Linked DNA regions of Macaca mulatta. The protein of the gene in region 1 purifies or fractionates together with the protein of each later gene. This does not show direct contact. Links are inferred from orthologs where the notes say so. Each region holds a gene or a part of one and is shown on either strand. Other genes may lie near its edges. The genes, in order: VCP, RPL13, TUBB4B, UBXN10, PPP2R1A, SVIP and BTRC.

Region 1 (3,047 bases):
ATATTAACAAAAAGCTTTTTTTTTTTAAATCAAACAAAGTACATAAAATAAAGGTGGGCACAACGCTAAGTGATCACCAACCAGGGGATGTTTGGGATTTTTAGATGCATTAAAAGGGAGTATAGAGAATATCCACCTGCAAATAAGATTGTATTTTTTTGCAACCCTATGATTTTCAAATGGCTCCTAAACACAGTCTTTGGTCAGGATAAGGGATTCTGCAGGCCTAGCCTTACCGTTCACATCAAATATAGGTGGAGGGATGCCATATTCTCCACATTTGGAGCTCTGTCAGGCTGCTCCCTTTCCACCAGTCCTATCCAGTGATACTGCACACACAGGGTGAGGCAACAGGAGACATCATACTGATGTTGATCAGGAAAGGAAGAAGGTGCAATCTTACTTCCAGGATTTCACATTTGGAAGAATGCCTTGGGAGTGGTGGGTAGCCCAAAGCTCTTCCCAGGAAAAGAAGCAGGCACAGGGCCCAGGACTCAGGCTCCATTTTGACCCAACGTTTATTGTCCTTTTACAACATGTCATTTTTTGGTTTAGAAACTGCTTGTGATTAGTTTTCCAACATTAACTCAAAAGCATGTAAAATAAATCAACCTACTCTCTATATAAACACCCAGCAACTGTGGCCCCTACCCACCTACCCAGGTTGGATAGGGGGAAGGGAGGGCTCGGGCAGCATTGAGTCAAGTGCAGATGCTTTACTGTGGCAGGTGGCAGTAGTGCCTTGGTTCACACCCCACACAGGTCCCCTGCACTGCCCCAAACTACAACAGAAATGGCATAGGCCCAAGGCCCAATTCCCTGTTGGTAATTCACTCTCCACCTACCAAATGAAAATCGCTTTTATTTTTTCGCTTTTGTTTTGTATTTTTGCAACAGAAACCCCCTGTCCAGAGTCAGACTGTAGCTGAACTGTTCAGACTGAAGAATGGAGCAGGCTGTGGGCGCACCCCTGGTCCCTCTCCTGGGCAAGCGCCCCCACCCCCAGGGAACAAGGTCCGGGCAGGCCAGCTCACTGCATGCTGGCCACCACCACTTAGCCATACAGGTCATCGTCATTGTCTTCTGTGTATACACTGCCACCTGTGCCGCCTCCACTGCCCTGACTGGGGCCAGCTCCACCCTGGTTCCCTGAAGGGAATCTGTGTACGAGAGCAAAGCCAAAAAAGACGGTTAGGACAGAGCCTGTGTAAGATTTCCACAACTACCCCTCTAGCTTCCTTAGGACTCCCATTCCCTTTTTGGTGTAGGTTCCCAAAGTAACTTAAGCACTGTCTAAGGCTCCCAACCAAGTTACCTGAAGCTGCCAAAGCCCCGACTCTGCTGAAGGGTCTGGGCGAACATCTCGTACTTCCGAATGTCATTGTCACTGACAGAACGGCGCGCAAAGCGCATGGCTTCTTCAAAGTGATCTCGACGGATCTCAGGCACTGGATCATCCTCTTCTACCTCCTATAGTTGGTAAACACAGATCACTAGGGCTTAATACTTTAAAATGCCAATAGTTTTCAGTGTTTACCACATTTGGATTACATCCTACCCAGTGGTCTCACTTTCAGTGACATATATACTCTAAAATATACTCAGGGTTTCCCAATGATTGCAATCCTACTACTAGAGCACATTATTTGGGCTGCTTATTCCCTTTATTCAAATTATACTCTCTTCACAGCCCAGCTCAAAACCTATCTCTTCCATTGAGAGGCCAATTGCTGTGACTTATGAGACTGCTTCCTAGGATTAGTTCATAAGTAGTTTTAAGCTTTTATGGGAGAGAGAAGGTCACAGACCCTTCAAAACAGAAAGAAAGCCATTTATTTGCTCATTCATTAAGTCCCATGTTTGGAACTTAATGAATTAATTAAGGGTAACACAGGACATAGTGGAAAACAAGTGAGATGACAGAGATCCTACCTTTATGGAGCTTACACACACATGAATTTGTCTTTTCATTTTGGGAGGACTGTGGACCCCATCCCTTCCCCAACCATCAGGGACAGGTATATGGGTCTCATCTCAGTTCAAAACCTTGCTCTGCAGCTCACGCCTGTAATCCCAGGACTTTGAAAGCCCAAGGCGGGCGGATCACAAGGTCAGAAGATCGAGACCATCCTGGCTAACACGGTGAAACCCCGTCTCTACTAAAAAAAAATACAAAAAACTAGCCGGGCGTGGTGGCATGCACCTGTAGTCCCAGCTACTCGGGAGGCTGAGGCAGGAGAATGGCTTGCACCTGGGAGGCGGAGGTTGCAGTGAGCCGAGATCGCGCCACTGCACTTCGGTCTGGGCAACAGAGCAAGACTTCGTCTCAAAAAAAACAAAAACAAGAACAAAAACCTTGCTCTGTTTGGTGCACTCTCATACTTTGATTTCCCTCATGGAGCTTGGTTTAGACTGAGAATGGAGCCTGCCCATCTCTTCTCGGCCTTATTCCAAATTGAATGGATTCACCTCAGTATTCTTTATCTTTGATGCCCTATTAACATTCTTCTCAGATGATCTTTTCAACAACTTCTACTCTCAACTCTAGGGCATGGTGGTGGCTGCTGCCTGGCTCCCCATGACTGGCACATCTGGGGAAAGGATACAGACTCACCATGGCTGATGGGTTTGTCTGCCTCTCTCGTTCTCGCCTAATCTCACTTTCGATGGATTCACGGATGGCCAGCTTGCAAGCACGCTGGCAAATCTCTGTAAGGTCAGCTCCAGAGAAGCCATTAGTCATTTTAGCCAGGAACTCCAAGTCCACATCCTAAAAGAAGCAGCAGAGCTACCTTAGCATTTAGCCTCTTCTCTCTTGAGATACACAGATCTTTGGGCCATCCAAGCACTCCCAACTAGTTTGCCCCTTCTTTGGCCACCCCATTTTATTCCTGATTCTAGATTATCTTAATACCCTCAAAAATTCTACCTTCCCTTTAGACCAACCCTAACCCCAAAGCAATCTTGTCCAGAACCCAAAGAGCACTCTATACCAGACTGAGGACTCATACAAGTCTCCCACAGCCCATGATCCTGCACCTGCCTTG
Region 2 (4,244 bases), on another chromosome or scaffold:
CTGTAAGAAGTCACAGCAGCGAAACCCCATCCCAGGCCCAGCAGCTCCCACGAAATACACCACGGGGAGACCCAGCGTGACTGCTGACTGATTACAAGTCCCCAGGAGGGCTTTATTTTTTCTTTTCAACATCCTGTTCTGCGGCTTCCTTGGCTCTTTTTGCCCGTATGCCGAAGAGCCGGGCGTTGGCACGGGCCATGCGGAGACTAGCGAAGGCTTTGAAATTCTTCTCCTCCTCAGTAATGACTCGAGCTTTCTCCTTCTTATAGACCTAGAAGAGAAACACAAGTTGTTGAACCCAGTGTGTCAATGGGCAAAGGCACAATAGGCATCATCAGAACCCAGAGGACTTCGGGGGATGTAAGGGCAGGTGTGCTGCCCAACTGCGGAAAAGCGACTCTTGAGTCAGTCACCTTCCCTGTGATTTAAAAAAAAAAAAAAAAAAAAAAAGAAAAGAAAAGAAAAACCCTCCCTGCCTGAGCTACACACGGCAGCTTAGGTCTGTAAATCCCAAAATTCAAAACCAGTGTAAGCAACATAGAGAAACTCTCTTTCCAAAAAAACTTCCCAATTTACGGCTTCGTGGTTGCAAGAAGTAAAAACTAAGAAATATTCTTTTCCACAAACCTCCACACGCAGCACAACTGCCACCATTAACTTTCTTAGGCCTGATCCCCATCTCAGATATCCATGTGATCACCCACTGATCTCGTCTAAAGCTGGATTTGAGCAAGTGTTAACTTACATTCCGGATGGGCATGACCGGTCCCGTCAGCTGGGTGGCCAGTTTCAGTTCTTCAGCCTGTTGATGAACGAGAAGAGTTAAGTGCCTTTAGCCGCGCTGCCCCAAGGACTCCACCCCCGCCTGGCCCCAAACTTCCCCCTGGGGATCCCGAGTTCAGCACCAGTGTCTGAGCCTTTCCTCCAACATACTTTGTGTCCCCAGTGTTGAGAACAGTCATTACTAGTTAGGTGGCTATCTTACTGAGTTGACACAACACGCATGAGACAGTTATATCTACCTGTGAACCAGGGACGGGGCAGAGAAAATCGTTCCCTAATTCAACTACCAGGAAACGTATACAATGGACTTTTATCAACCTTACCCTACAAGGTTTTTCTAGAATATTTTGGAACACGAAGCATTTTTTTTTTTTTTTTTTGAGACGGAGTCTGGCTCTGCTGCCCAGGCTGGAGTGCAGTGGCGCGATCTCAGCTCACTGCAAGCTCCGCCTCCCGGGTTCACGCCATTCTCCTGCCTCAGCCTCCCGAGTAGCTGGGACTCCAGGTGCCCGCCACCTCGCCCGGCTAGTTTTTTGTATTTTTTAGTAGAGATGGGGTTTCACCGTGCTAGCCAGGATGGTCTCGATCTCCTGACCTCGTGATCCGCCCGTCTCGGCCTCCCAAAGTGCTGGGATTACAGGCTTGAGCCACCGCGCCAGGCCAGAACACGAAGCATTTTAGGGAGACAATGATTTCAACGGAAAAAGCTGGCTCCAAGTCACACAGCCTTTGCCGTGACCACTAAGGTCATCCCTGCTGAAAACCACAGGTGAACCTTAGTAGTCCCGATTAGCTCGTCATCCTGCAAGACAGGCGTATCCTGCGGATCACAACGGCCACGAGGTTTTGGTTCTTCTCACCCCAGCAGGGCCCAGGGACGGGTGTCGCCGATAAAGGAACCCGGCCTCACTTTCCCCGCGCGCCAGGACGGCCGGAGAGCCCTGTACTCACAGAACTGTCTCCCTTCTTGGGGGCCGAGGGCTTCCTGGGGAAGAGGATGAGTTTGGAGCGGTACTCCTTCAGCCGCTGCACGTTGGCCTGCAGGGACTCCGTGGACTTGTTCCGCCTCCTCGGATCCACAGAAATGCCGATGGTCCGCGCCACCTTCTTGTGAACGCCGGCCACCTGCCCCAGAAGCGGAGAGAGATGGAGGCGGGCCCGGGCCTTCGCCGCCGCGAGGCCCGGATGGAGAGGCCCAGCGATCAGATGGAAAAGGGTTCAAACGTGCTTTCATCAAGGCCGTCCAGCGATTCCGGAGAATGTCATCACGCGACTGAGGCCAGCACAGGGGACTCAGGGCCCTCCCGACACCGCGGCGCTGCCACTACTCACCCTGAGCTCCTCCAGGCTGAAGCCGCGGCCGGCGCGCACCTTCGTGTGGTACCGAACCGTGGGGCAGCGCACGATGGGCCGGATGGGGCCCGACGCGGGGCGCGGGGCGATGCGGCGCGCCTTGGCTTGCCGGGCCTTGCGTCTGGTGGAGAGAAGCCCAGCGGCGGTCACCCTCGCCTAAGGCCGCCAGGCGAGTGCTCCGCGGCGGCCGCAGACAGCGCCCCCCGCCCTGGCACCGGCCACCCCCAAACCAAGGCGCAGCCGCGGGCGCGAGCCCCAGGGGCGCCCCGAGCGCAGGGCTCACCTGCGGATCTTCCGGGCCGGCTGGTTGAACCACGTGGCCACGCGCCGCTGCCAGTCCTTGTGGAAGTGGGGCTTCAAGATCATGCCATTCCGGCTGGGCGCCATGGCTGCCTACGGCCCTGCGGCTGCGAACGCGAGGGAGCGAGTGAGAGGCCGCGCCCCGGGCGCGCGCACCCCCCGGACCTCCGCCCTGAACCCTCCAGCCTGGGCCGTCCGGCCGCGCCTAGAGCCCGGGCCCCGGCCCAACGCTGTCTGCGAAAAAGAAGGGGCCCATCCATGCCCGCGCTGGCAGCAACGCCAGGCCGATGGCGCCGGATGAAGCCCAAAGGCCGGGACCGAGTCTAGCTCACCTCCTGCGCAGGAAGACAACCGAGCGGAAAGGAAACGGCGCCGCAATGCACCCTGGGATGATAGCAGGGCCGGCCAACCAGAAGCGCCGGGCGCTCTGACCAATCAGAGCCCGGAAAGGAGGAACTGACGTCACCGCGCGCTCTCAGGGCCGCCCTCGCAGACATGGCGTCGCTCAGAGTGCGGCGGCGGGGCCGTGATGCCCGGGCCCTGCGGACCCCGCGGCCGGACTTGCTTGACGTCCGCCGTTACTGCCCCGGCGCTTCAGCCGCTGCGCGGGCCGCGGTGGGCTCAGGCCGAGTCCCGCCTTGCGGACTAACGCGCGCGCGGCCAGCATCTGGGCGGACGGCGAACGGGCGACGCCCCGGCAATTCTTAAGTTTGTTCGCGTTTGTGGGACACGTTTGTAGCGCAAAGGCAGGAAAACTGCAATGAGATCCGAGTCTGCGCAACCTAAGGCCGTCGTCCTCCTTGTTCCAGCGTTTATTCTCCTCCCATCCATTTAGAACTTTTTTATATTGAGACAAGAGCCTCACTCCGTCGCCCAGGCTGGAGTGCAATGGCGTGATCTCGGCTCACTGCAAACTCTGCCTCCCGAGTAGCTGGGATTACAGGCGCCCGCCACCACACCAGGTTAATTTTTTGTATTTTAGTTTAGTAGTAGAGACGGGGTTTCACCGTGTTGCCCAAGCTGGTTTCGAACTCCTGAGCTCAGGCAATCCGCCCGCCTCGGCCTCCCAAAGTGTTGGGATTACAGGCGTGAGCCACCGCGCCCGGCCTATGCTGGTTTTTTAAAAGATAAAATTAACATTTCTTGAGTGTTTTTGTAAGCAGGGAGTTCAGTTCCGGATGTGCATTTTCACATCGAATCCACACAACTCCGTAAGGAGCAGTTACTGTTGGCCTCTGTCCCCGCTTTCCCTTGGCCCAGGATTAGGTGACTTCTCTAAGGTCAGGGGTACCCAACTGAAAATGTCACATTCTGACCTGCTGTGCCTACTGCCTCCCTTCACAAAGAAAAGCATCAACAAAAAGCCAGCTCTTACTCTCTAGTGCAAGTCTGTGAAGGCACCATCCATCTTACTGCTACCTGGAAACCTTTAAATCTTAATAACCCTCTTTCTTCCCTACCCTCACCCAATCACCAGCCTTCCTCCTGGTAAAACTTAGTCCACATTTTAAGAATTTCACAGTCCCGGCCGGGCGCGATGGCTCACACCTGTAATCCCAGCAGTTTGGGAGGCCGAGGCGGGCGGATCACGAGGTCGGGAGATCGAGACCATCCTGGCAAACACGGTGAAACCCCGTCTCTACTAAAAATACAAAAAATGAGCCGGGCGTGGTGGCGGCGCCTGTAGTCCCAGCTACTTGGGAGGCTGAGGCAGGAGAATGGTGTGAACCGGGGAGGCAGAGCTTGCAGTGAGCCGAAATCGCGCCACTGTACTCCAGCCTGGGAAACAGAGCAAGACTCTGTCAAAA
Region 3 (2,666 bases), about 59 Mb from region 1:
GAAACCCCCACTGTGACCTGGGTGAGAAGCTGCCTGGAACACACTGGCCCAGCAACCACATCTACAGCAGCCAAGGCCTGATCCCCTTCTACATGGGGTTCATCCCCTGTGAGTACAGGGCGGGAAGGGTCACACGGACACACCCTGGCCAACGTGGGGAGGGGCAGCTGTACCTGCCCACCCTTCATTGCTGGTTCAGGACCACCTGTCTGACCACCGTTACCAACCAGGGTCCCACCTTGGTTGGGGTAGGATTGTCTGCCATCCTCCCTACCCCTTTCGGAAGGGGGCTAAAGTCCCAGACACAGGCCAATGGGCCCCAAGGTTGGGTACCCAGAACAGGTCAGGCCTGCCTTCAAGAAGCAGGTTCCCCACCAAGCAGATCCCCAGGGCCCAGGGCAGCTGCACACTTCTCTGAAGCCTGGGTGTCCAGCCCATGCTGGTCCCTGGGTACATAAGCCCAGCTCACCTACAGCCTGGCTCCCCGCAGCCATGCAGGACAACTACGCACTGACATTCGGCAATAGCACCCGGAGGGCCTACTGGAAGGAATGGGCGAGGCGAAACCGCACACTATGAAAATGCTTTAATGGTGGTGTCTGTACAGCATGGGATGAGGACAGGGAAAACAGAAGTGCACACACAGCGGGACAGGCCACAGGACAGGCTGGGAGGGAATAAAGAGTTCGCACTGCCTCTCTGCTTTCCCCGGTGACTGAAGGCTCTAGGCCACCTCCTCCTCAGCCTCCTCCTCGAACTCGCCCTCCTCCTCGGCCGTGGCGTCCTGGTACTGCTGGTACTCAGACACCAGGTCGTTCATGTTGCTCTCAGCCTCGGTGAACTCCATCTCGTCCATGCCCTCGCCCGTGTACCAGTGCAGGAAGGCCTTGCGCCGGAACATGGCCGTGAACTGCTCGGAGATGCGCTTGAACAGCTCCTGGATGGCCGTGCTGTTGCCGATGAAGGTGGCGGACATTTTTAGCCCCCGGGGCGGGATGTCACAGACAGCTGTTTTCACATTGTTGGGGATCCACTCAACAAAATAGCTGCTGTTTTTGTTTTGGACATTAAGCATTTGCTCGTCCACCTCCTTCATGGACATGCGGCCCCTGAACACGGCAGCAACCGTCAGGTAGCGGCCATGGCGGGGGTCACAAGCAGCCATCATGTTCTTGGCATCAAACATCTGCTGGGTGAGCTCGGGCACGGTCAGGGCCCGGTACTGCTGGCTGCCCCGGCTGGTCAGCGGGGCAAAGCCGGGCATGAAGAAGTGCAGGCGGGGGAATGGGACCATGTTCACAGCCAGCTTCCGCAGGTCAGCATTGAGCTGGCCCGGGAAGCGCAGGCAGGTGGTGACCCCACTCATGGTAGCAGACACCAGGTGGTTCAGGTCACCATAGGTGGGCGTGGTCAACTTTAGGGTTCTGAAGCAAATGTCGTAGAGAGCTTCGTTATCAATGCAGTAGGTCTCGTCTGTGTTTTCTACGAGCTGGTGGACTGAGAGGGTGGCGTTGTAGGGCTCCACCACTGTGTCTGACACCTTGGGCGAAGGCACCACACTGAACGTGTTCATGATCCTGTCTGGGTACTCCTCCCGGATCTTGCTGATGAGGAGGGTACCCATCCCAGACCCCGTCCCCCCACCCAGGGAGTGGGTCAGCTGGAATCCCTGCAGGCAGTCACAGCTCTCAGCCTCCTTCCTCACAACATCCAGCACCGAGTCCACCAGCTCCGCGCCTTCTGTGTAGTGCCCCTTGGCCCAGTTGTTCCCAGCACCACTCTGACCTGTGAGAAAACAGTCATTTATCAGCCAACTAGACAGCACTACTGGTCACCACCACCATGCGAAAAGGACCTCGTGACATGGTGTGAGCTGACCCCAGAATTCACCCTGCAGGTAGACCAAACAGACCCCTCAAAGTGAAAGGACGGCAGCCTGCCCTGCTACAGATTAAGTCAAGAGCCAAACCTGAGAGCTTAACAAACCCCTCCCCGGAGAGGGGGGGGCCACTGCCAATTCCCAAGGACAGAGCAACAGCCACTGCCCCCAGCTCAGCTCCCTGCAGGGAGATTACGTGTGTGGCGACTCCTCGCCTCGGCAGACAGCTGGACCTTGCTCTCAAAGCCGATTTAGGAGAGGGGATTGAGTGGTTCAAAGAAGAGCGTCCAGGGGCCCGGGCTGCGCAGTTCCCACGGAGGTGCCCTTGGAGCAGCCCCTTGACCTTTGAGCCGCCGCCCAGCCCCCAGCCGCAGCTCACCGAAGACGAAGTTGTCCGGCCGGAAGATCTGCCCGAAGGGCCCCGAGCGCACGGAGTCCATGGTGCCGGGCTCCAGATCCACGAGCACGGCGCGGGGCACGTACTTGCCGCCTGCGGGGACGGGAGGGCATCAGCCAGGGCAGGGGCCGCGGGGTCCCCGGAGGGCGGTCGGGGAAAGGGCCGGGGCCTCACCGGTGGCCTCGTTGTAGTACACGTTGATGCGCTCCAGCTGCAGGTCGCTGTCCCCGTGGTAGGTGCCCGTGGGGTCGATGCCGTGCTCATCGCTGATCACCTCCCAGAACTACAAGGGACGCGGGCGGGCCCGGGCGGGTCGGGGCTGAGTCACCGCGGCCGGTGCGCAGGGAGGCAGCCCCGCCCCGGACGGGTGCGGCAGCCCGGCCCTCCCCG
Region 4 (4,026 bases), on another chromosome or scaffold:
TAAGGCGGGAAGCACCAGGCTTAGTGCATGGTAGAAACTTAATTAAACGTTAAGGGATTTTGTTGTTGTTGTTGTTTGCTTTGGGTTGTCTGTTTAGTGCTTTCTGTCTGCTAAATTCAAAAGCCTTCCTTGTTTTGCTCTAGAACTTTTCCCCTGTGTCCTTGGTGATTCTACTCCTAGTCAACCAGCTGGGTGAGTCCTGAAACTCATGCCTGCCCTGTCCACTGCACAGAAACACAGGGAGGTGGATTGCAATGAGCTACCACCTATTCAGTTGCCTCAAAAACATGTGAAAAAAAAATCCTGAGTTGATCACTTCTCTTCTAATTCTACATTTTACTTACCTCAAATTCACTTCCCGTAGAATGATTACTTCCTGCAAATTCATTCCTTTCATCACAAAATCTTCAATGTAATCTGAGCCTCTCAGGGTATGTATTCTAACCTTACCATTCCGTGCATGTAACCACTGCTGCCTAATTTTAGGGAGTATCTGCTTCCTCTCCACTCAAACCAGGACCAAACAAAACACAGCATCCCTGTATCTTCCTGATGTCCTGCTCAATTCAAAATCTGGGACAAAGCTACCCTCTTTTAAAGGCCTCTATGTCGGCTGCATTCTACTCACAGCCTGAGTCTCTCTCCACTCCCCATTTTCCACTTCTCCCTCGTCTTTCACACCCAGTCTGGCTGCTAGTAGCTCAGGAGCCTTCTCCTTAGCAAAGTTTTGGCATCAAAAAAGACTGCCCATCTCCTTGTTAATTTCATCTATTTTCTGATCAACTGTGAAGAATGTGTTTTTCCCCCTTTAGTCTCATTCTCAAGTCTTTCTCTGGCAATTAGCAGCTCTGCACTTTCACTCAGGATGGCAGGAGAAGGTCATAACTGTCCAACTGTTCTGCCAAAGATAAGCTCCACAGGCAAACCCACGCCCCTCTCGGCCCACCCTCCCCACTTGTGGAATGGCTATTAATTTGCCACAGCTTCTACAGAATTATCACAGGCTTGGCTTCCAACACCCACACATGCCTCAGGAAGGTTTAGCTGTCAGTGAGTTTGGTAACTTAGAAACCTCTTCCTTAACAACTTTGATGAGGAGAGTCATGTGTTCTCACAGGCTCTCTGAGGGATTATTTTTAACAGTAAAACTTGAGTATGTGCATGCACTTTCTATACCTTTTGGTTCTATATAATTATCCATGTTCAGGGGGTGTCATATTCAAGACACCCTGGTCATAAGATAACATGACTGTGAGCTATCTCAGAGAAAAACCTCAATTATGACTAATTCCTAGGAGCCCACTCATGGTTATTTAGAGACTAACACCTCCTTCAGGTAAAACCATTATATCCAACCTGCTTTCATAACCCACTGCCTCCTCCCGAGCACAGGGACCATCTGTTACACGGAGGGAACACCAGCTCTCCCCAGCAGCCATCACATAGGGATGGGGCGGTTGGGGAAACAGGTGTCTGGGGATCTGGGCCAACTGTGCCTTTATATTCACACGTCGGGTCCTGAACTCTGCCCGCCGCCCTCAGTCCAGGAAGGCTCCTAGCAGCAGCCATCATTATCCCTGCTCAGTTCATTTCACCACCTCTAGGCCTGGCAGCCGCTCAACCACAAACTGATTTGACAAGATCTAGGCGTAGGCATCTACCAAGCTGCCAAGCTGAATAGGCGAGTGGCCTGTTTACTTAAACACAATAGCTGCGCCCCAGAGGCCTGCTAGGAGTCAGGAAGCAAACACTGCCAACTGTTTCCAAGAAGTTGCCAGAAGGGCAGGTGCCCATTCCTTAAGATTCATCAGCAAATCAACTGGAAAGAAGGAAATGTGGATGGGGGAAGCTAAAGCAGGGCTCCTGCTTTCTAAGGGTGCCCACCACCCACCACAGGGTCAGACCACCCTATTTCACTCACAACCCAAATCTAAGCCTACAGTATATGCAGTAAAATATAACCACCTACATACCATCTGCTGGTATATACCAAGATACATACATTTGAATTGGTCTTTTAAAACTGTATCAGTTAATCCTATCCGTTGCCACTCCCCACCCCCAACCCACACCCCCACCAGGCTTTCAGGATAAAAATGCTCTGAAGAACCAACAGGAGATGGTGGTTGGCCTGAGAATGAAAAAACTCTGGTACCATTCCCAGTTCTACCCCAAACTAGTGATTAGAATACACTGTCCTATGCAGAGTGCCACACTGAACCACAAGCCACCAAGTGATCAAATGTTTGGAAAGAGAATTAGGGATGATTCCAGAGACAGAAGGGCAAGGAAGTGGTGGGGATAACTCAATTATGTCCAAGTTCCAGCGCCCTAGAAGGCAACAGGCTTAAGGGGTGGAGGAGGGATCTGGGGGAGGGGCGAGAAAGAGCGTTTAGAAAGTGAGAACTGACTTCAGTGAAAGAGCACAGGACTGGGGGAGGGTCCATCTGGTTCCGGTCTCTGCCCTGCCGGAGACTGGGACGTCCTTTTCTCTCCCTGGGTCTGTGTCCCCATCGCTACATCCCAGCCTGGAGGGCATGGCCCAGCGGTTGCATAGGTCCCTTTGGTAAAGGTGAGCTCTGGCCAGGCTTGCTTTGCCTCGGGAGCAGACTTTTCTCCAGGTTCCTCGCCTGTCTCCCGGGGTTCGCGTCCCTGGGGCTGGGGCTGGGGAGGCCCTCAAGGGTGACGTGCTGGGGGCTCGGGGACTGGCTTCTCCCGGCCCCTTCCAGGCCCGGCGGAGGCCAAGGGCAGGCCGCCGGGTCTGGCAGCCGCGCTCACCTAGCCGTTCCGCTCCATCCGCCGCCTGCGCCCAGCTCTGTCCCGCTGGTAAACAGCCCTGGTCTCCCGGGCAACGCCGCGGGGTGGGGGGCCACGTGCTTCCGCCGTGACCGGAACCGGCCTGGGTCGGGTGGGGTCCAGTTGGGTCTGGTCGGGTCGGGTCAGGTGGGGTCGGTGGGGGCCGCTGGGCCAGGAGGGCGGAGGCCATGAGCTCCAGGTCGGTGGATTGCCAGCCGTATTGCCTGGCCTGGAGGCGACAGGGACCTGCGGCCTCCTTCTCTCCTCCTCTTCCTAGCGTCACCTGCCTCTGTTTCTCGCTGGGGAGAGTGTCTGGGAGAAGGAGAGCCCTAGCCGGGGCGTGGAGGCGCGGGGAGCAGCACCACTAGTCTCAAACCCCGTTTCTCACTTTGGGTCAGGTCCTGAGCCTCTCAGTGTCCCTGGTTTTAAAATGAGGCTGTGGGACTGATGGATTCTCGGAACCCTAGACTCTGAGTGGATGCTTCTAGGGTATCTGAGTTGCGGGGAGCAGGGTCCCCATCCTCAGTACAGCCCTTTCAGTGCCAGATCCCTGACCTCCTCATTTTCACATCAGCCTCCCACCCCGGGCCACACTGGGAACCTTATCAACAGCATCTGCACCTCCTTTGATGTCCCCAGCCACAATCTCTTCCACTTCCAGCCGCTTGAGTCACTTCTGCTGTATCTGTTTTTCACCATCTTTGGGCTACCTGTCCATTGCTGTCTCTGCTTTCCCCCTTGCTATCAACCTGCTTCTTCCCTATCCTGGCCCATCCCTCAGCCTTCTCAAAAGGATCCTCCCTCCCCGAGTCCTGCTCTCCTTCCATCTGATGAAACCCCAAGCCAAATCAGTCCGCCTACACATGGGTACTGAAGAAGTCTTGGCCAGCCACACACCTTGGTGTAACAAACACGAGGTCTCTAACCTCAATTAGACCATCAGCCCTGCACTTCCATCCCCGACCAACCATTGGGTTCTCTCTCCCTCCTTTCTTCTTTCTTCCATTTTTTTTTTTTTTTTTGAAGGGGAGACAGGGTCTTGCCCCTTCACCCAGGCTGGAGTGCGGTGGTGCAATCACAGCTCACTGCAGCCTGGACCTCCCCAGCTCAGCCTGCCTTGTAGCTGGGACTACAGGCGTGCATCACCATGCCTGGCTAATTTTTATTATATTTTGTAGAATAGGGTTCTGCCATGCTGCTGAGGTTGGTCTCGAAGTCTTGGGCTCAAGT
Region 5 (3,500 bases), on another chromosome or scaffold:
ATTTCAAACCAGAGACCTCTGTACCTTTATTTGAACATATTGGGATAAGTTGAGTCTCCCTTCAGTAGGTCGCTAATTAAGAGTTCCTGTCTTGTGCTAAGAGTGCTGCTGGGCTCTGGGGATACAGTGGAGAGCCAGTCATATATATCTGAAGGAGCACAGTCATTCTAAGCCCACAGTAACAACCAGCGAGCCGTCCCGAGCCCCATAGTCCCCCAGAAACATGAGATCCCAATTCAGTCACCAGAGTTGTATGAGACAGCACAACTGTACCTGTTCATGGGAAACTCAGGTCAGGTTTTCGATCCTGACCTGTAGCTATTATTAGCTTGGGCAAGCCAGTCCGTACCTCAGTTTTCTCTTCTTTAAAATCAGGACTTGCTTTATAGAATTCAGTGAGGAAAAACAAGCACCCCTGGTACAACACGGTGGTCCTGCCTAGTACACACAGTGAACTGATGTTCTACGCAGTGTCAGTGATGATCATTGCACTTTGAGAGGCTAAGAACTTTCTCCTCAGAAAGTGATGTGTGTAATTTTCAGATTCATGGACCCCAGTGAAACTTCTTCAAGGACCCCTAAGTAAGAACCTTTGTGGAAGGCACGCTGACAGAGACCTTCTGCTGGCTGGCATAATATTACGTTTTTCCTTTGAATCATTCACTGCAACCATTTTAAAATGCTCTTTTAATGAAGGCTGGGATGGGTAATAGGGAAGGTTTCTCTGAGGAGATGAGCCCATGAGGGGGTTGCAGGATGGGGGTCCAGGGCCAGGGATGGTAGAGAGGGAGCTGTCCAGTGACTTCATATTCTCACGACAGCCACCCCTGGAGTCGCTGGCCACAGTGGAGGAGACAGTGGTGCGGGACAAGGCAGTGGAGTCCTTACGGGCCATCTCACACGAGCACTCGCCCTCTGACCTGGAGGCACACTTTGTGCCGCTGGTGAAGCGGCTGGCGGGCGGCGACTGGTTCACCTCCCGCACCTCGGCCTGCGGCCTCTTCTCCGTCTGCTACCCCCGAGTGTCCAGTGCTGTCAAGGCGGAACTTCGACAGTGAGTCTCTGCCCCCCTTGGAAGCTCCAAGCTCCCCCCTCAGCTCGGTCCCCTTCTCTAAAGCCTCAGCCTCCTTTCGGTCTGCCTAGGGCCCACACGCCCCTGAACTCTCTCCAGTCCCACTCCTGCTTACCACGTGGTAGGCCACATCCTTGAGAGTTGGTCTCTGGACACAGCCGCGTGTCAATTTACCACCTCTGCCCCCTTGCTCACTTAGGAATTGAGATGATGACAGGTCCTCCTTCCCACTGGTTAATGTGAGGATTTAAAAGAATTATCACATATAGGCCGGATGCAATGGTTCACGCCTGTAATCCCAGCACTTTGGGAGGCCAAGGCGGGTGGATCGTGAGGTCAGAAGTTCGAGACCAGCCTGACCAAGATGGTGAAACCCTGTCTCTACTAAACATACAAAAATTAGCCGGGCATGGTGGCGCACTCCTGTAGTCCCAGCTACTTGGGAGGCTAAGGCAGGAGAGTCGCTTGAACACAGGAGGCAGAGTTTGCGGTGAGCCGAGATCATGCCGTTGCACTCCAACCTGGGCGACACCAGTGAAACTCCGTCTAACAAAAAAAGGAATTATCACATATAAAGTGCTTAGAGCAAAATCTGGAACATAAAAACTTTCAGCACATCACATCTGATGGTGTCTCCAGCCTGTCCCAGGTCCGGTGCCTTTGGCAGGTAAACCACTTCAGTTTTCAGCCTCCTGCTCCTCTACTTTGCAAACAGTTGACCATCATGCCCAGGTTTGAGCCGTGGCTCACTCCAGAACTCTGATTTACGGCTGCACAGATGCTTAGATACTTACACTGGCCCTGACCATCTTTGACCGAAGCAATTGCTGCTGTAAAATAAAGCCTTTCTGTGGCTCTAGACTAGCCTCTTAGTTAAGCAGTTTTTTGTTTGTTTTTGAGATAGGATCTTGCTCTGTCATCCAGGCTGAAGTGCACTGATAGAATCATAGCCCACTGCAGCCTCAACCTCTTGGGCTCAAGCATTCCTCCTGCCTTAGCCTCTCAAATAGCTGGGACCACAGGTGTGCACCACCACGCTGGGCTCATTTTTTATTTTTGTTAGAGATGGGGTCTCACTATGTTGCTCAGGCGGGTCTTGAACTCCTGGGCTCAAGCAATCCTCCTGCCTTGGTCTTCCAGAGTGTTCAGATTACAGGTATGAGCCACTGTACCAGGCCCCTTGGTTAAGCAATTTTTATGGTCATGATAATGTAATTGTCAGCACTTACCATTGACTGGATTTATTATGTGCAGTCTGCGAAGTGTCCCACACACATTATTTCATTGAAACCTCATGCAGACCTGTGGGGTAGTTACTGTTACTATCAGCGCCTTTTCATAGGGCTGGGAAGACAGACGGAGTCATCACTTGCCCAAGGTCATTCAGCTAAATCCTGGACCCACACAACTGCAGTCTGTGCTTGCTCCTCTCTGCCGTACTGCCTGCTGCCTCATGATCCCCATCCCCGACTCCCAGGTACTTCCGGAACCTGTGCTCAGATGACACCCCCATGGTGCGGCGGGCCGCAGCCTCCAAGCTGGGGGAGTTTGCCAAGGTGCTGGAGCTGGACAACGTCAAGAGTGAGATCATCCCCATGTTCTCCAACCTGGCCTCTGACGAGCAGGTGAGTTTTGCTCCCTGGACCTCTCTGCTCTCACCTCCTTCTGCTGGTCCCTGCCCGTGAAAGAGAATCTCAGAGTTCAGCAAGGCCTCTGCTGCCCTCCTGCATTCCTCTCCTCTCCCCAGGACTCGGTGCGGCTGCTGGCGGTGGAGGCGTGCGTGAACATTGCTCAGCTCCTACCCCAGGAGGATCTGGAGGCCCTGGTGATGCCCACTCTGCGCCAGGCCGCTGAAGACAAGTCCTGGCGCGTCCGCTACATGGTGGCCGACAAGTTCACAGAGGTAGGTGAGCGACCGTTGACACTGTCCCACTGGTGGGGGACACTGACACCCTCAGAAGGGAAGCATATAGAAGCTGAGGTTTACCATTAGGCCGACGGAATCATTGGGCGTTTGAGCAATAAGATCTCTGTGATCGTCTAACTTCATCTCACTTTATATGCCAATCCTGGTTGATTGACATGGCATCTTGAAGTGCTGCCTTGAGAAGGATTCTGAGGCTAAGTTAAGGCTTCACGGAGGAAAGTGCCACAGGAGCAGAGAAGGGTAGCACATGTGGGGTGCTCCTGACATAATCAAGCTGTCCTTTCACAAAGGGGAAGACGCAGCCCAAAAAGGTGCAGTTTTTTGTTTGTTTGTTTGTTTTTTTGTTTTGAGACGGGGTCTCATTCTGTCCTCCAGGCTAGAGTGCTGTTGCCCAGCTGGAGTGTGGTGGTGCAATCTTGGCTCACTGCAACCTCTCCCTCCCGGGTTCAGGCAATTCTCCTGCCTCAGCCTCCTGAGGGACTGGGATTACAGATGCCCACC
Region 6 (4,087 bases), on another chromosome or scaffold:
ATCGATATAACTTCCAATATTTACTACTCATGATTTTACACTATTTCAAAATTTTCTGATAATACATTTCAGGAGAAAATTATTGAATGGATTGCTACTTAAGTTTTTTAAAATGCCAGTTAAGTTAAGCACAAGAAAATTTTAATACTTACCCTAAGTCCCCCTTCTGGTGGGGGCCCAGATGTAGCAATTTGTTTTTCTATTTTTTCCTTTTTCTTTCTCTTTTCTTGCACAGATTGAACATCCAAAATTCCCCGAGATGCAGCCTTGAAGAAATTTGGTAAGAAATACAGAAAGACAACAAAAATCTGTCCAGTGTGCAAAACATATTTTTGTCTATCTTTGCTTTCTAGGTTTTTCTTTGGGGGTAGGGAGTTGGTTTATTTTTGGTAACAAAGGAGTATTTCTACAACAGCCTTACATAAAACATCATTTCTTCACTGGGTATTTTGTAACTGTACAAATTTTCCCCTAAACTTGCTTCACATCTGTATTTTACAATGCACAGCCATTTTAAAAGGAAGGATGTTACTAAAAGAGTATCTGAATTTAGAGAAGATATGATAGTTTTCATATATTAAATAATATAAATATATTAATGCAACTCATACAAACAAGGAAATCATTTTGAAAATAATTACCTTTAAAGGTAAATTTTTGGGATATCAAAGGCCATTTGCGTTAGAGAATTTAACTATGGACATCTATGAAGAATAAAGTACAAAATTATCTAAGTAGGCAAAACTTGATCTTTAATCTTACCTCTTTTTGTCTTCTCTCTGCAGCCTCTGCAAGCTTTGCTCTTTTCTCTTCCTAAGGAAATGCGTAAAAATATGTATTAAATAACAAACATTATTGTGAATAAATTATAAACATTTATTTCATAGGTACTATAACAGTTCACAAAAATATTCAGTACTGGCCCTAAATGTCCCACAAAGAATGCCGCTACTCAACTTTCTGAATTTTATTCTCCTAATCAATACACCTTCAAATCAGCACATGCTAAAACAGATACAAGGTTTGCCTATATAATCATTTCTTTACTCTTTTTTTTTTTTTTTTTTTTTTAAATCAAAAGGCCTACAAGCTAGTCAGGGCAATAATAAAACAAATAATGTTTACAAATACAAGAAGGAAAATACATGGTTTGATACTGCTAGTTAAAATGGAGTCTGAAGTAACCCTGTGTTTTTAGCAAAAGTTAATGCATAAGTGGGCTAATCTCAGTGTGCAGGAGAGACGGATTGGAGTAATTTCATGACAGGTATTGTTCCATATCAGAAAACAGTGAATGTTATTTTTCTAGACCATGTACTACTTATTAAAACCCTTTTTCTAGGTGCTGGGATACAGCAGTGTAAAAACATAGATAAATGTCACCTCCCAAATGAAACAAATTTCAATTGCGGGCACACAGACAAATATAACAAAGTAAGTAAATGCCTCTCAGATGGTATGGCAGATAAGTAATGGGAGAATGGGTAGGTGGTATTGTGGGGAATATATTTTGTTTAACGTGGTCAGTAAAAGCTTCACTAATAAAGTGACATCCAAGCAGCGAGCCGTGTGGTTATCATGAGGGTATCAAGAGGGTATAGCATGAGGATGGGGGAGGGCTTAACCAATCTGACATGTTATATTTTATCAACAGCCAGAACAACAAAATCAACATAATTTAAAACAACAGCAACAACAAAGAGAAGCTGAACTTTCCCACATCAAATTTATAAGTACTAAATTTTTAGTATCTATAATAGCTGAAGAGTTAATGTACTTTCCTAAATACTTCATTTTCTTCAACTAATGTTTAGTTAGAGAAGAGAAACAGGTTTATGTTAACTCCCTGTAAGGAGTACTAACGTAAAGATATTGTTAACAGAAAGCTACAAAAAGTGTACATGTTATTGTACCACACACCCACTAGTTACATTTGAATTTCAGATAAGCAATGAGTAATGTTTTTGTAGAACTAGATCCCTAATATTGCACAGCACAAAACTATATTATAAATGTATTACTTGTATATCTCAAATTCAAATGTAACTGGGTGTCCAGCATTTTTGTCAAATACGACAACATTACAAATTGGACACTCTGTACTACATATTCTTTTAAAGGGAGAACGTAAAATAATCAGATAAATACTAAAAAGAAATCATTAAAATAACATATCCGATAAAGCTCAGGCGTATAAGCGACTTTCTGAGCACCTTCTGTTAAAAGATGGTAGACACAGTTGAAAATGCACTTCTCCTAGACGACTAAAGAGCTCCCGGTGAAAGCAATGTCTTTTTGCGCCGAATTCCATCTACCGCATCCCCTAGAATGTCCCACGCGCAACGCCCTCTGCGTGCGCCGGCGCCCTACGAATTCCCGGTGCAGCCCAACTCAGTGGAAGGTAAAAGACGCCACAGCCGCCTTTGGACAATTTTTTGTTACAAAAGTGGAGATCTACACGGAGGCAGCGGCCTAGGTCGCTCTGACAGGACCCAGCGACCCTCCTGACCCGTCCACCCGTCCTCGCCAGCAGGGTCCCCCTCGCGGGCTCTCGACCTGCGCCCCTAGGTCCAACGGCCCGGCCCGCCCCGCAGCCCGAGGACAGGTGCTCAAGGCGCAGCCCGGCGGACGCAGGGACCTGTTTTACTCACCAGGTCCGGCGTGGGAGGCGCGGACTCCCCGGGACAAGGAAAACACAGCCCCATAGGGACAACAACTGGGGAACCCTGACCGGGCTCCCCCCAGGCCAGGAGGCGCTAACTGCGCGGTCGGAAGCGCGTCCCTGGTCCTCCGCGCTTGCCCCGCCCCCACCACCGTCCACTGGCTCGGCTCCACCCCTGCGACAACGCCCCGCCCCCACTCCGCGGCTCCGCCCCGCCCCCACCCCGCGGCTCCGCCCCGTCTCGCCTCTCTGCGGCAACGCCCTCCTATTCTCGCGACACCGCCCCCCTCTTCTCGCGACACCGCCCCCCTCTTCTCGCGACACCAACCAGTCCCCACAGCTCAGCTGCGTCCCCATAAGGCATTGCCCCTTCCTCACCCACGGCTCCGCGTAGCCCCGCCACGAGAGCGCAGGGCTTGTGGCCAAAGCCTAGGTTCCAGGAAGCACCTGCTGTGGGTAGCAACGCAGGGAAGGGATGGAAAAGCTTCGCTACGGTTCCAAAGCTCTTCCTGCTAGCCTTGCCTTACCATTTACAAATGAGTAAGTGGCACAACTCTGGGTAGTTCATGCTACCTTTTTTATGAGATGGGACTCTGGTATCCTAGAAATTAAAGCCCAAATTCCAAGTCAACATCAGTACCCTTTGCTCCCTTAGTGACAATGCTGTACCAGAACAGAGGGCAGAATATAAAATCCATTATTATGACGATGAATCTAGCGTCATAAATGTGGCATTAGTTGAGATTTCCACTAGTTTCTGGTATTTAGGAGTCACTTATCACTCCGAGAGAAATAATAAAGTTTCATCTATTGAGAAATATTTTAATAACATTCTTCTCAAATTTTAATAAGTATGAGAATCACCTGGGCAACTAGTTAAAATTTACATGCTGATTTAGTGAGTATAAGGTGGGACCTGAGATTCAGTTCCAGTAAACCCACAGGTGATACTGAAGTTACTGACCTCGTCCCCACACAAATGCTTTTATTTTATTTTATTTTATTTTTGCATTCTATTAGTTATTTCTGCTTATTGGAAAATTTTGAAACATTACAAAAAGGTAGGATGTATAGTGACAGCATCTCAAAACCATTGTCAACTTTTTGATACATATTCTTACTGGTTAATTTTTTATAGATATATAATTTACATATAATATTATGCACTTATTTTGATTGTAGAGTTCACTTGGTTTTAACAAACATGTGATCACCACATTCAAGATATGTAAGTTTTCCATCATCCAAAAATCTATTATACTCAATCCCATTCAATACTCTATCCTATACCTAGATCCAGGAAACTATTAATTTGTTTAATACCACTTTAGTCTTTAAGTTTTGCATAAATAATATCACTATAGTCTTTAAGTTTTACATAAATGAAATATACGATATGTTTTGCAAAAGCCATAATGTTTTTTA
Region 7 (3,500 bases), on another chromosome or scaffold:
CAAGGTAGTTTATAATTATGTGAGGGCCAAAAGAGTAATAGCCCATTCAGTGCATTTCAAGAAGAGAATTTAACCCTAGGACTACCCATTTGTATAATATTCTGGGGGGAAGCAGATGTCTGTCCTTTAAGGAAATGATTTTGGCTTTGGAACTGGAAACAATCTAAAATCTTCACTTACTTTCTAGAAATAATGCTTAGAGTTTATGCTTTGGACTGTGCTAAGAATGTAGTCAGCCTCGCTCCCTCCGCTACCTTCCTACAACTGAACAGACCTCACCTTGATTGTGTTGTCTCGAAGGCCGCTTACTATTTTCTGATCATCATACTGTAAACAGTAAACTCCTTTGCTTGTTTCACTTCGGCAGTGAATTCTCTGTAAACTATGTCTTCCACATCTCCAGTTAGATTCTATTGTCTGAGAAGAAGGAATGGGAAAATGGCAGTGTTAGGAAACGCCTAGAATCAAACTCTTTTTGGGCTTTAATGACAATCAAAGGCTCGATGCTTTACTCTATGGGATATACACAACTTAGGGAAAACTTAAAAATGTCTTTAAAAGGCTACTATCTACATTTATAAAATATTTTCCCTTTTGCAAAGTAATTAAAGTTTGTTTCCTAGAACTCCCCTGCCTATAATTTGTTCAATTAAATAATAAATCTAGTGGGAAGAGACTACTCATCAAGAGGAGAAAAGCTACAAACTATGTGAGGTTATACACTCAGTGCTCTTACATATGTGATGGCCATTGCTACTGATGAACTTCTATGGAGGTTCAATTCAGAAGATATTTGAGGACAAGTTTACCATTCACACTGCTATTGTATGAAGGGATCAATCTCTTTATCTCTCTCATCTATGTATTAGTAAACAATTTTTTAAAGCTTTAAAATTTTGCCTAGCAATTTATTTTACCTACCCTACTTGCCTGTAAAGAGACTGATTTTCTTTTCTTTTTCTTTTTTTTTTTTTTTTGATGGAGTCTCACTCTGTCGTTCAGGCTGGAGTGCAGTGGCACGATCTCGGCTCACTGCAACACGTGCCTCCCAGGTTCAAGCAATTCTCCTACCTCAGGCTCCTGAGTAGCTGGAATTACAGGCGTGTGCCACCATGCCTGGCTAATTTTTATATTTTTAGTAGAGAAAGGGGTCTCACCATGTTAGCCAGGCTGGTCTCAAACTCCTGACCTCAGCCTCCAAAAGTGCTGGGATTACAGGCGTGAGCCACCACAGCCAGCTAAGAGATTGACTTGCAACTCATGTCAATAAACCTTAATGGGCTTGCTGTAACCATATTGTGACTGAAGAATGCTGATAATTCTGTGCCACTGGGCAAATACCCCAAAATACATAGATTCTTACCTCAATGTCTTGTATAATTTTAGGATAAAGTGCTCTATAAAAAGAGTTGGGAGGAGCATTCCCGTCAGGAGGTTTGTTTTTGAATAAATACTGTCCCCTAAAAAAATAACAAATATTTCCCAATGAAAATCATGACATTATACATTTATATACATATATATTTTGAGACAGTCTTGCTCTGTTGCCCAGGCTGGAGTGCAGCGGCGTGAGTTGGCTCACTGCAACCTCCTCCTCCTGGGTTCAAGCGATTCTCCTGCCTCAGCCTCCTGAGCAGCTGCGATTACAGGCATCTGCCACCACGCTGGCTAATTTTTGTATTTTAGTAGAGATGGGGTTTCACCATGTTGGTCAGGCTGGTCTCAAACTCCTGGCCTCAAATGACCTTCCTGCTCGGCCTCCCAAAGTGCTGCGATTACAGGCGTGAAACATCACACCTGGCCGACATTATATATTTATAAGGAGCTTCATATATTTTCAAAATGTTTTCACAGTTACCATTCCATATACTCTCCATAGCTGCCTAGGGAGGAGCAAACGTAAGCCTGATTTCAGGAGTCCCATGTCAAAGAGCAACCTTCTGGGCTCTAAGGAGTCTGATCAACACTGATTTGCTTTTGGGTAAAACATGATTATTTCCAGTGTAGAACGTCAGAGTACCAAGCCTTTGGAAATATTATAATATCAGTAAACAAATGGAATATGTATAATCAGAATTCATCTATTGGTCTATTAAGACTACTGCTTAGATTCACTGACCTCATCTTTTGGAAATTTTGTTAGTAATGGTAAGTATTACCTTTGAACTAGCACATGCCCTATAATTTTTTTTTTTCTTTTACTGTGTAGTGGTCCCCAGCATTGTAAACAGCAGCAATGCCTCTGGCATGGAGATCACTTTTTCTAGGTCTTTATCTGTGTGGGTAAGGTGGCTGCTCAGTCACCCAGGCTGCTGCTAATCAGTGCAACTATGCTTTGAAAGGAACAATTCAGTTCATTTCAACAGAAAACAAAAGGATCACAGGTTTGTCCAGCAGCAGCTAGGGAAGAAGAAAAAAAGAAACGCCTAAGAGCATTGTGCTATCAAGTCTAAGGCATGAAACTGACTTTCACAGGTGTGTTCCTGGCTGTGTATATACATACATGTACTTAACTGCCTTCCCTGTTTCCAGTGAGCAACATTTGTTAGTATCTCCTTCCTTATGACAGCACATCTCTGGAATACTCATATCCCAAGCTAGATCTTTGCTACAAAAAAAAAATCAGTAAATGGCAATCACTTCCTGCTGGGTAAAAAATTTAATTCCTCATCCTGAAGTTAAGAACCCACCAAACACGGTGTGGAAGCTAGTAAACCCCACTATGGGTGTACTAACTGCTGTTCTCACTGGCACCGTGCCTTGCAAAGTGGAGACAGGCAGAAATGCCTCTGAGTGTAATCCTGGCACCAGAGAAATCATGTTTTCTCTGGGCCAGTCATCCACTCCTCCCTCTATAGCTCCATTACAATATAATTAATTGTTTGTTGTCTCCAGGAGTGCTTCTCCCCTTCCCTCTCCCTATTATACACCTTGAAAATTATTTGAGAAAATTTCCTGTCCAGGAAGGTAGCTGGCTCTAACTTCTGTGTTAATACAGAAAAGAAAATCTGAAAAAGAGAAGTGAAAATAATACTTATAAAGAGGGGGATTAATGAAACATGATACACCAGCATAAACAAAAGGGGAAACAAGATGTGTTATGAAAGAATTCCGGATTAATGGTACATTTCTCTGTACAATATTATTCTACAAACACTTTGCAGGCAAATAGTAGATTTTGAATGTGAAGATTTTAAGCCTGATTTCTCAGCCCACCCACATTCTTAACTACTTGTTTCTCAATGCCCACCATTTCTGAGATTCCTGTCTTCTTTTAATCTCTAGCACTCCAAGACTTTCTTCCTATGCAATGATACTATCTCTACATTCTAAGGAAAGAGAACCCATATAAGCTTCTGATCTTGTTTTCCACCTCACTGCATTTACCATGTCTTGGTAAAGTACCTGAATTTCTTCAGATCAAAGTGCTACAGAAAGGGATGGCTAGGTATTGAAAACGGGCTTCTGTCTTTATGTTTTAAGTCAAAACCTTTTATGAT

Evidence for each region.
Region 2: the proteins of VCP (region 1) and RPL13 purify together in Homo sapiens (affinity purification with mass spectrometry, with the first as the bait; 3 studies listed by BioGRID). This does not show direct contact. The link is inferred for Macaca mulatta from reciprocal best matches to the Homo sapiens genes VCP and RPL13.
Region 3: the proteins of VCP (region 1) and TUBB4B purify together in Homo sapiens (affinity purification with mass spectrometry; 3 studies listed by BioGRID, with this or other methods). This does not show direct contact. The link is inferred for Macaca mulatta from reciprocal best matches to the Homo sapiens genes VCP and TUBB4B.
Region 4: the proteins of VCP (region 1) and UBXN10 purify together in Homo sapiens (affinity purification with western blotting; 3 studies listed by BioGRID and IntAct, with this or other methods). This does not show direct contact. The link is inferred for Macaca mulatta from reciprocal best matches to the Homo sapiens genes VCP and UBXN10.
Region 5: the proteins of VCP (region 1) and PPP2R1A purify together in Homo sapiens (affinity purification with western blotting; 4 studies listed by BioGRID, with this or other methods). This does not show direct contact. The link is inferred for Macaca mulatta from reciprocal best matches to the Homo sapiens genes VCP and PPP2R1A.
Region 6: the proteins of VCP (region 1) and SVIP purify together in Homo sapiens (affinity purification with western blotting; 3 studies listed by BioGRID and IntAct, with this or other methods). This does not show direct contact. The link is inferred for Macaca mulatta from reciprocal best matches to the Homo sapiens genes VCP and SVIP.
Region 7: the proteins of VCP (region 1) and BTRC purify together in Homo sapiens (affinity purification with western blotting; 4 studies listed by BioGRID). This does not show direct contact. The link is inferred for Macaca mulatta from reciprocal best matches to the Homo sapiens genes VCP and BTRC.

The regions. Positions count from the first base shown.
Region 1 is NC_133420.1:64,669,095-64,672,141, reverse strand, and holds the end of VCP (transitional endoplasmic reticulum ATPase), read right to left. Parts: coding exon 3,044-3,047; exon of another isoform or gene 2,987-3,043; intron 2,856-2,986; exon of another isoform or gene 2,771-2,855; coding exon 2,615-2,770; exon of another isoform or gene 2,537-2,614; intron 1,494-2,536; exon of another isoform or gene 1,471-1,493; coding exon 1,316-1,470; intron 1,161-1,315; coding exon 1,055-1,160; 3' UTR 501-1,054; downstream 1-500. UniProt on the Homo sapiens protein: Necessary for the fragmentation of Golgi stacks during mitosis and for their reassembly after mitosis. Involved in the formation of the transitional endoplasmic reticulum (tER).
Region 2 is NC_133425.1:85,005,366-85,009,609, reverse strand, and holds RPL13 (large ribosomal subunit protein eL13), read right to left. Parts: upstream 2,801-4,244; 5' UTR 2,769-2,800; intron 2,544-2,768; 5' UTR 2,524-2,543; coding exon 2,420-2,523; intron 2,258-2,419; coding exon 2,116-2,257; intron 2,052-2,115; exon of another isoform or gene 1,968-2,051; intron 1,909-1,967; coding exon 1,735-1,908; intron 803-1,734; coding exon 746-802; intron 272-745; coding exon 113-271; 3' UTR 78-112; downstream 1-77. UniProt on the Homo sapiens protein: Component of the ribosome, a large ribonucleoprotein complex responsible for the synthesis of proteins in the cell.
Region 3 is NC_133420.1:5,210,464-5,213,129, forward strand, and holds the end of TUBB4B (tubulin beta-4B chain), read right to left. Parts: intron 2,560-2,666; coding exon 2,451-2,559; intron 2,370-2,450; coding exon 2,259-2,369; intron 1,787-2,258; exon of another isoform or gene 1,786-1,786; coding exon 725-1,785; 3' UTR 580-724; downstream 1-579. Other genes in the region: CIMIP2A (ciliary microtubule inner protein 2A), read left to right, coding at 1-108, 491-579. UniProt on the Homo sapiens protein: Tubulin is the major constituent of microtubules, a cylinder consisting of laterally associated linear protofilaments composed of alpha- and beta-tubulin heterodimers.
Region 4 is NC_133406.1:220,784,109-220,788,134, forward strand, and holds the start of UBXN10 (UBX domain-containing protein 10), read right to left. Parts: upstream 2,801-4,026; 5' UTR 2,779-2,800; exon of another isoform or gene 2,412-2,778; intron 1-2,411. UniProt on the Homo sapiens protein: VCP/p97-binding protein required for ciliogenesis. Acts as a tethering factor that facilitates recruitment of VCP/p97 to the intraflagellar transport complex B (IFT-B) in cilia.
Region 5 is NC_133424.1:64,406,338-64,409,837, forward strand, and holds part of PPP2R1A (serine/threonine-protein phosphatase 2A 65 kDa regulatory subunit A alpha isoform), read left to right. Parts: exon of another isoform or gene 1-677; intron 678-821; coding exon 822-1,054; intron 1,055-1,685; exon of another isoform or gene 1,686-1,701; intron 1,702-2,549; coding exon 2,550-2,697; intron 2,698-2,819; coding exon 2,820-2,975; intron 2,976-3,500. UniProt on the Homo sapiens protein: The PR65 subunit of protein phosphatase 2A serves as a scaffolding molecule to coordinate the assembly of the catalytic subunit and a variable regulatory B subunit.
Region 6 is NC_133419.1:42,569,304-42,573,390, reverse strand, and holds the start of SVIP (small VCP/p97-interacting protein), read right to left. Parts: upstream 2,801-4,087; 5' UTR 2,706-2,800; coding exon 2,652-2,705; intron 814-2,651; coding exon 763-813; intron 267-762; coding exon 153-266; intron 1-152. UniProt on the Homo sapiens protein: Negative regulator of the ER-associated degradation pathway (ERAD) of misfolded proteins. It competes with AMFR/gp78 for binding VCP/p97, and inhibits AMFR/gp78-VCP/p97 complex formation that is required for degradation of ERAD substrates.
Region 7 is NC_133414.1:113,601,823-113,605,322, reverse strand, and holds part of BTRC (F-box/WD repeat-containing protein 1A), read right to left. Parts: intron 1,461-3,500; coding exon 1,364-1,460; intron 418-1,363; coding exon 280-417; intron 1-279. UniProt on the Homo sapiens protein: Substrate recognition component of a SCF (SKP1-CUL1-F-box protein) E3 ubiquitin-protein ligase complex which mediates the ubiquitination and subsequent proteasomal degradation of target proteins. Recognizes and binds to phosphorylated target proteins.